2 linked regions of the Cricetulus griseus genome follow. The protein of the gene in region 1 binds, or shares a complex with, the protein of each later gene. Links are inferred from orthologs where the notes say so. Each region holds a gene or a part of one and is shown on either strand. Other genes may lie near its edges.

Region 1 (3,810 bases):
GTCTCTTCATGTGTTTTAGTCAAGGCACAAATAGTACTAACGAAAATAAGCTTGTGATACGAGAACAAGCTTGTCATATCAGAAAAAGCAGAAAAACATAAGTAGTATAACTTAAAGGAAAGTTATTTTCAAAAACAGCTCTCAACAGCCCGGCAGTGGTGACAGACACATTAATCCCAGCACTTGAGAGGCGAAGCAGGCAGATCTTCATGAGTTTGAGGCCACCCTGGTCTACAGAACTAGTTCTTGAGCAGTGAGGGGCACACAACAGAGAAACCCTGTCTTAAAACAATCAAAAACCAGGTCTCTATCTATCTATTTATCCATCCACCCACCCAGTCAGCCAGCCAGCCGGCCGGCCAGCCTTGTGCATCCCAGGCTAGCTTCAAGTTCCCTATGTTACCACAGATGACCTCTTGCCTCCACCTCCTGAGTCCTGGGATTATAGGCTATATTGTCGCACTTAGTTTATGTGATGCAGGGGATGGGGACAAAACCCATAGGTTTCATGCATGCTCAGCTAGCACTCTACCAACAGAGCTACATCCTAGCCGAAAATTATTTCTAAAAAGCAAAAACATGCACAAAAATATTCAGATCCTAAAAGACGAATACCATGTATTTAAAACTTAGCTTTTAAATACAAAGATTAGGAGGGTACGGCCATCGAGGAGGAGCTTATGCTACTGGGTGACAGAGGACAAATCTGGCCCTGAGGATATCTAAAGTAGCCTTGCTGGGTGATCTCAGACAAGTCCTATGACATATCCAGTCTCAGTTTCCCCACTAATAAAAAGGACTACCATGTGGTAGAGGGTGAAATACCACTCCTGGCTCAGGATACCAGGGATAGATGGAGATATACAAGAGAGAGAAGAATGCTTGTGGCTATGCCCATACCTTTGGGATGCCAAGTGGTTCATAATCCAGAGTAGCCTAGCATGTGTAAGGAGAGTGAAACCAGAGCCCTGCCACTCAGCGCCCATACCACAGCCCTGAGGTCACCAGCCCTCACCCAGCATGTTGGAGGACTCAATCATGTTGGTGTCCAGGTCAGTCCAGTACAGTCGCTGGTCGGCGTAGTCAATAGTGAGGTCATTGGCCCGGCCCACCTTGTCTACCAGCGTCATGCAATTGGTCCCATCCATGAAGGCCCGCACGATCCTCGGCTTGCCGCCCCACTCAGTCCAATAGATGTAGCTGGAAAGTACAGGAGAGGAAAGATGGGCAGGGCTCAGGTGAGTTCTGGCTTAATGCAGGGTTTGGGGAAAAGAGTAGCCACCATCTCCTAGACTCAGCCCCCTTGCTCTGAGGGAAGTCAGTCAATGATAGAACCCCAGGAAATAAAAAGGAGCCAGTTTCAGCTGTGCTTCAGCCATAGCTCTGGCTCTCCCCAGGGGCCAGGAAGAACTCTCGAGCAGCCAACACAGGACAAGTAGAGGAGGCCATCAGACAAGGTTGTCTAAGCAGGCAACATATCTTAACTAAGGTGGCTGATTGCTGGTGTGTCCTGTCACTCAAGAGAGATGTGGGCAAATTCAGATGGATGGAGCTTCTTCTCTCATAGAGTGAAAACCCTGACTAGGGATAACACAACACAGAGGGCCCCTTCCTCCTCTTCCTCTGCATATCTGAGAAAGATGCTCACATTCAAAGGCTTGGAAAATTTTCTTGGCCTTGGTAACCATCTGGACATTTGTCTTCCTCCTGCCATCCTGCCTGTGTTCCAGGCATGGGACAGGATTCAGTTGTCCCCCATGACAATATGGACTCTCTATGGGGTGAGTATGTGCCCTGCACGACAAGGGACACTTGGGACTAGAAAGAGACTGCATTTGGCCCACCGGGCTCCAGCTTCCAGGGTAGCCTAAGTGTTACTTAAGACAGCCCATGTGGGGCTGGAGAAATGGCTCAGGGGTTAAGAGCACTGACGGCTCTTCCAGAGAACCTGAGTTCAATTCCCAGCAACCACATGGTGGCTCACAATCATCCATAATGAGATCTTGTGCCCTCTTCCAGCCTGCAGGCATACATGCAGGCAGAACATTATATACATAATAAATTAAAAAAAAATCTTAAAAAATAAATAAATAAAGACAGTCCATGTGAAAGCAGCCAGAGGTCTGTGGCTGACAGTGGCTTCAATGCTGTAAGCATAAAGAGCTAGGAAGGGGGAGGCAGTGACTTCAACACAGAGGCACTTGTGAACAGATGGACAGGGCCTGGATCGAGTGACAGGCAATAACAGTGCTTACCCTTTAGTAGGATCCAGCGCCAGAGACCTGGGGTTGTCAAGGTCTTTCCACACAAGCACCTGACGGAACTGCCCATCCAGCCGGGCCACCTCTATCCTATTGGTCCCTGTGTCAGCCCAGTAAAGGTTCTTGCCCATCCAGTCCACAGCCATTCCTTCAGGGTAGTCTAGGCCAAACTCAATCACGTGTTCCACTGAGCTCCCATTCATGAAGGCTCGGCTGATAGTCTGGGAGGGTGAGGATGGAAAGGGCCATGTTAGGATCCATCATCTTTTGTAGACATCAACCAGGAGACAGCAGACTCACCAAACAGATAACTGAAAGGCAGGAAGATGACTTCCGTAGAAAAAGCAACTTGGATATTTGTGCATGTCCATGTGTGTGATTTTACACAGATGGAGAATCTAGAAAACACTCCACCCAGTAATCATACTTGAATCTGGGAAGGAATAAAAATATAGAAGACTGCACTGAGAGATGGTTCAGAGGTTAAGAGCACTTGCTGCTCAATCGTGAGAACCAGAATTCAGATTCTGGCTCCTACAGACAGCTCATAGACACTTGTAACTATTTCAGAGGAATGGACACTGTCATCTGGCCTCTGTGTACACTGGACACATATATGCTCATATAGTCACAGACATAAATGTACATATGTAAAATAAAATCATGTATGTATGTATGTATGTATGTATGTATGTGCATGGCAAGGAAATTTTCAAACATGAAACTGCTTTAGGAACTGTTAACAATTAGAAACGGAGTGAGGCTGGAAAGTTAGCCCGGGGATTAAGAGCACTTGTTGGTCTTGTAGAGGAACAAACAGTTCCCAACACCCACATGATAGCCTTCAACCACCTGTAAGTCTAGTTCAGGGCACCAAACACCCTCATCTTTTGACTTCCAAGTCATTTCTTTAAAAATGGAAAAAAAAAAAAAAAACTGCCAAGAGGAGTGGTGTATGCCTTTAATCTCAACAGGCAGGCAATCTCTTGAGTTGGAGGCCAGCCTAGTATACAGAGCAAGATCGCACAGGGAAACATGGTCTCAAAAAACCAAAGAGAGAGAAAGAGAGGGAGGGAGGAGAGAGAGAGAGAGAGAGAGAGAGAGAATTAGGAAAGGACTGGAGAGATGACTTAGTGGTCACAAGTGAATGCTACTCTTGCAGAGGACCCAAATTTTGTTTCCAGCACCCACATCAAGCATCTCATAACTGTAATTGCAGCTTCAGAAGATCTGACACCTTTTTCTGGTCTCCACAGACACATAAATGAAATTAAACATTAAAAATAAATAAGTAAATAACCACAAGCAAATAAATAGTAGCTTCAGATACAGGTGATCTTGTTTCTCTGTACCTCCCTACCCCCAGTCCCCCTTTCTTGAATCAGGACAGTCCAGGCTAGTCTCAAACTCATGGCAATCCTCTTGCCTCAGACCCCTGAGTACTAGAATTACAGGCATACACCACTATATCCCCAAAGGTGATCAAAATGTGTTAGTCATATGGTACAGTAGGGATCAGTTTTCACTAGAAAGGGATAGATAGGATTTT
Region 2 (4,270 bases), about 150 Mb from region 1:
AATGTCCGCTTCCCCACATGTCCTCAGCAAGCATAAGGGGAACAGTTCAGAAAAGTCGGGGGACAGGGTGGTATTTAAATCATTTATCAAAAGTCATTTTATTGACAAAATAGAATACTTATATTTGTTCTTACAGGGGTAGCCTCTAAACTTTTTACAAATAATGTACACATTGTATATCTTTGGATATATACATACTTTACACTTTTCTTTTTCTTTTTCTTTTTTTTTTACAATTTAACAAATAATTATATAAATACATCCTCTAATGTAAGAAACCCGTATTTACTTGGGGTGTATAATTAAGACATTTCTTGTTTATTTAAGGCATCTGCCTGGTCATTAAGAATACCCAAACCGTGCAATCCCACAAGGTAGCAGTCGTCCCTCCTCCAGGGTGTATGAGGAGTGAATTTATGCAGGCGGGGGTCGAGGGTGAAGCAGTCCCTTGGGTGAAGTGTGTAGCTTGACCTCAAGGCTTAGCCAGGGTACCCAGGAGGGTTCCAACTCTCCTAGACGACTGAAACCACTGCCTGGGGGAGGCGCTCCGGAGCGTCGGAGGGGAGGGGCTGGGTCTGGGAGGCTTCAATGCCAGGTACTTTGTTCTGAGTGAGTCATTTAAGTCCCAGCGGCTAATGGATACCATTAAGAGTTCATTATCATGCTAATAGCAATCAACACGGTGAAGGGGTGGGAACCCCGGCCGATCTGGGGTCCCTTCGCCGCCCTCGGGCTCCCCATCCCCCACCCCTCTCCGCCCCTTCTGGGCGTCCGCTCAGGGTTCAGACCTGGGACAATGGCATCTGCTTAGGGTAAGACATGGAGCTGGCCGTGCCAGACCGCCACGTCAGGCCGGTGCTGACGTCGCTGTAGAGAGATCCCCCGCCTCCGCCGGGTCCCCCACCCCCACCAGGCCCCGGACCGCCGCCCCCCGGGCCGCCGCCTCCGGCTCCCGCGCCTACGGCTGCGCCCTTGCTGGCCCAGCAGCAGCGAGTGCACAGCGCACGCCAGGACTCCAGAGTCTTGCCGGACCAGACCCACACGCCCGACGTGATGCCCACTACCAGACACATGAAGTACTTGAGCATGAAGACCGCATAATCGGGCCTGCGTGCCTGGTCGGGCTGCAGGTCCCGAAGGCATGGGCAGTTGTGAGTGGCCTCCCAGCGTGGACGGTTGTGCTGCTCATAGAAAAGGCAGGCGACAACGACGGCGGCAGGCACCGTGTAGAGCACAGTGAAGAGGCCCAGGCGGATCATGAGCTTCTCCAGCTTGTGTGTCTTGGTTGGGCCTCCTTGTTGCTTGATGACCGAGCGGATTCGAAACAGCGACACGAAACCAGCCAACAGAAACATGGTGCCAATGAAGAGGTAGATGACCAGTGGTGCCAGCACGAAGCCGCGCAGGTTGTCGAGGCTCTGGTTGCCCACGTAGCAGATGCCTGCCACCGGGTCGCCGTCCACGGAGCTGAGCGCCAACACCGCGATGGACTTGACGCTGGGCACCAGCCACGCGGCCAGGTGGAAGTACTGCGAATAGCCTGCGATGGCCTCGTTGCCCCACTTCATGCCAGCCGCCAGGAACCACGTGAGCGACAGGATTACCCACCAGATGGAGCTGGCCATGCCAAAGAAGTAGACAAGGAGGAAGACCACCGTGCACAGCGCGGGGCCAGTGGTCTCATAGCGCACGTGCTGCTCCACGGCTCCCAGCTCCTCGTACTCGCCGCGCGCGCCCGGGCCGCTCGCCCCCGCTCCCGCCGCCCCCGCGCCAGCCGCCGCGGCGCTGCCAGCACCCCCAGCTCCGCCCGCACCCGGAGCGCCACCGCTGCAGGCCACCTTCTCGTGCCCTGCCACCAGGCGCACTAGGTACCCGACTGACACGAAGAGGTAGCAGGCGGAGAGGAAGATGATGGGCCGCTCAGGGTACTTGAAGCGCTCCATATCGATGAGGAAGGTGGAGACGGTGGCGAAGGTAGAGACGAAGCAGAGCACCGACCACAGGCCGATCCAGAAGACGGTGAAGGCGCGTTCATCCTGGCTGAAGAAGGGGTTATGGCAGGGCAGCGCACAGTTGGCGATCTGGCCGGTCTTGACGCGGTTGTAGAGGGGGTGGCGTTCACTGGACACGCTCACCATCGGCGCGCGGCACTGGCACCCGGGCTCGCAGGGAGCCGCGCCACCACTAGGGGGCCTCGCCTTCCCGCCGCGCGAGGGGGGCGCAGCCGCCGTGTCCCCGCTGCCCCTACTGCCACCCCCACGGTGTGGGGGCCTGGCCCCTGGCGGGCGGCCGTGGCCGCTGCCGGAGGGCGGCTGCTCGCCCGGCGGCGGCGGCGGCAGGCGGCGCGGTGGGCTGGGCGCGGCCGTGGTGAGGTCGGTGCGGTTGTAGTCCATGCACAGTGTGTCCGGGTTGCCCTGCTCGGGCAGCCGGTCGCAGCGCATGCGGTCAGGCCAGGCGAAACCGTACTGGCGCATGAGCGGCGCGCAGCCGGCCTTGGCGCGTTCGCACACCGAGCGGCAAGGCGGCAGAGGCTTCTTGTAGTCTTCCAGGCAGATGGGCGTGTACATGCTGCACAGAAAGAACTTGAGGTCGGGGGAGCACTGGATCTCCACCAGCGGCCAGAACTGGTGCACTTCCAGGCCCGCCTCGTCTTGTGTGTCGTGGTTGAACTGGTTGGGCATGTAGGTGTAGTTGTAACCGATGCCCTTGCACAGCGGCACCGTGATCTCCTGGCACGCCAGCTCCTTGGCCGAAGCGGCGGCGGCGCCGCTGGAGCGCTGCAGCAGCGCCAAGGCGGCTAGCAGCGAGGTCACTTCCAACAGGTAACCCCACTCCATGCTGCGCGCCGCGGCCCCACGTCGTCCTCCTCTAGGCGGCGCGCACTAGGGCTCTAGGGGACCCAGCGAGGAATCGGAGGAAAGGGAGAGCAGGCGACCAGCGGGTCTTGTGCGGCTTCTTCCCGAGGAGCTGAGAATCGGCCAACAATCTAGCCCTTTCTTGGGCAGCGTCTGTGGCAGCAGGGTCGCAAGCTTAGGCAGAAGTCGTCCGGCCCTCCCCGCCCCCCCGTGCCTCTCCTGGGGCGAGGGTGACCGCAAGCGCGCCACAGTTCCACAGGGTCTGCCCTACGCCCTCTGGGTGGCACTCAGCCCTCCCGGAGCAGAGTGGTGGCCCCTGGGCTCATCGTCCAGAGCTCGCGCAGGTCCTCCTGCACACCCAGCCACTTCGCGTGGCGCCCAGCAGCGGAGGCTCAGAGGGCGGCGCGCAGCAAGTTTCCTTTCGGGCCGCAGTCAAGATGGCTGTGCCTGGCCGCTCGCCTCTGGGGTCAGACCTAGCGGCCCCTCTTTGGGCCCCGAGGGTTCATGTCCGTCCCAGGCCGCGCCGCCACTGCCAGAGTTCCGGGCCCTCCGCTGGTCAGGCCGCCGCCTTCTCACTCCCGCGTCGGTCCCAGTCGGTCCTCCTGCATCTGCCGCCGCCGAAAGTCCACGTCGCTTTCTAGTGGTCACAGTCGGTCAGGGTGCAGGCTGTGCCTTCTTGCGAGACCGACAAACAAACACAGAGCAAAAGGCAAGGGGACACCTGAGGGCCGTGGTCTGCGCCAGCAGCCACCTCCTCCTCCGCAGGAGCTGCGCCCTTCGCCCAACTTCCCGGCTCCAGTCAGCTAGCACCTCCAGGCCGGCTCATGAATATTTATAGAGCTTGTTCTGGGTCTCCGCCCCCTTCTGGGATCACCAATCACTGGGCGGTGGGGCGGAGTCTATGTGCTCTCAAGGCTCAGCCTTCCTTAAGGAAGTCCGTAGTTCAGCCACTGCTTTTCTGGGTTAGGGCGGATGGAGAGTTTGGTCACCTTGGAATTGACCGCAAAAATTGAGCATTCACCCAGACTGTCCCCAAAGAGCTCAGCGCTTCAGAGATCCTGATCGAATTTCTCCGAGTCTGCACCCGGGGACTTCCTGAGACAGTGTTCGGTAGTGCGTGCACCTCCCATGGCTCTCTGAACCTGTCAAGATCCAGCTAGTCTCGGTCCATGGACAACACCTGCTGGTTCTGGAGGGCCTCGGAAGCGCAACGAGGGCTCTAAGGCTGGTCCAGACCCGAAGCTGGGGTATTTAGGGAGGGATGGCCTCTTCGGATTCTCATAACGAGGACTTTTCAGACTTGGAGATTTGGTGATGTAGTGCTACTTCTGTTGCAGTTAGATGATCAGGTTTGGTCATGGACAGCCCATGAGTACTTTGGGGCCTTGCCTGCATGCAAGGGTCGCGGTACATAA

What was found.
Region 2: Lrp5 (region 1) and frizzled-8 share a complex: the UniProt entries of both Homo sapiens proteins name them as parts of the wnt-signaling complex. The link is inferred for Cricetulus griseus from reciprocal best matches to the Homo sapiens genes LRP5 and FZD8.

The regions. Positions count from the first base shown.
Region 1 is NC_048596.1:55,621,522-55,625,331, reverse strand, and holds part of Lrp5 (low-density lipoprotein receptor-related protein 5), read right to left. Parts: intron 2,483-3,810; coding exon 2,256-2,482; intron 1,201-2,255; coding exon 1,016-1,200; intron 1-1,015. UniProt on the Homo sapiens protein: Acts as a coreceptor with members of the frizzled family of seven-transmembrane spanning receptors to transduce signal by Wnt proteins.
Region 2 is NC_048596.1:205,980,548-205,984,817, forward strand, and holds frizzled-8, read right to left. Parts: upstream 2,838-4,270; coding exon 783-2,837; downstream 1-782. UniProt on the Homo sapiens protein: Receptor for Wnt proteins. Component of the Wnt-Fzd-LRP5-LRP6 complex that triggers beta-catenin signaling through inducing aggregation of receptor-ligand complexes into ribosome-sized signalosomes.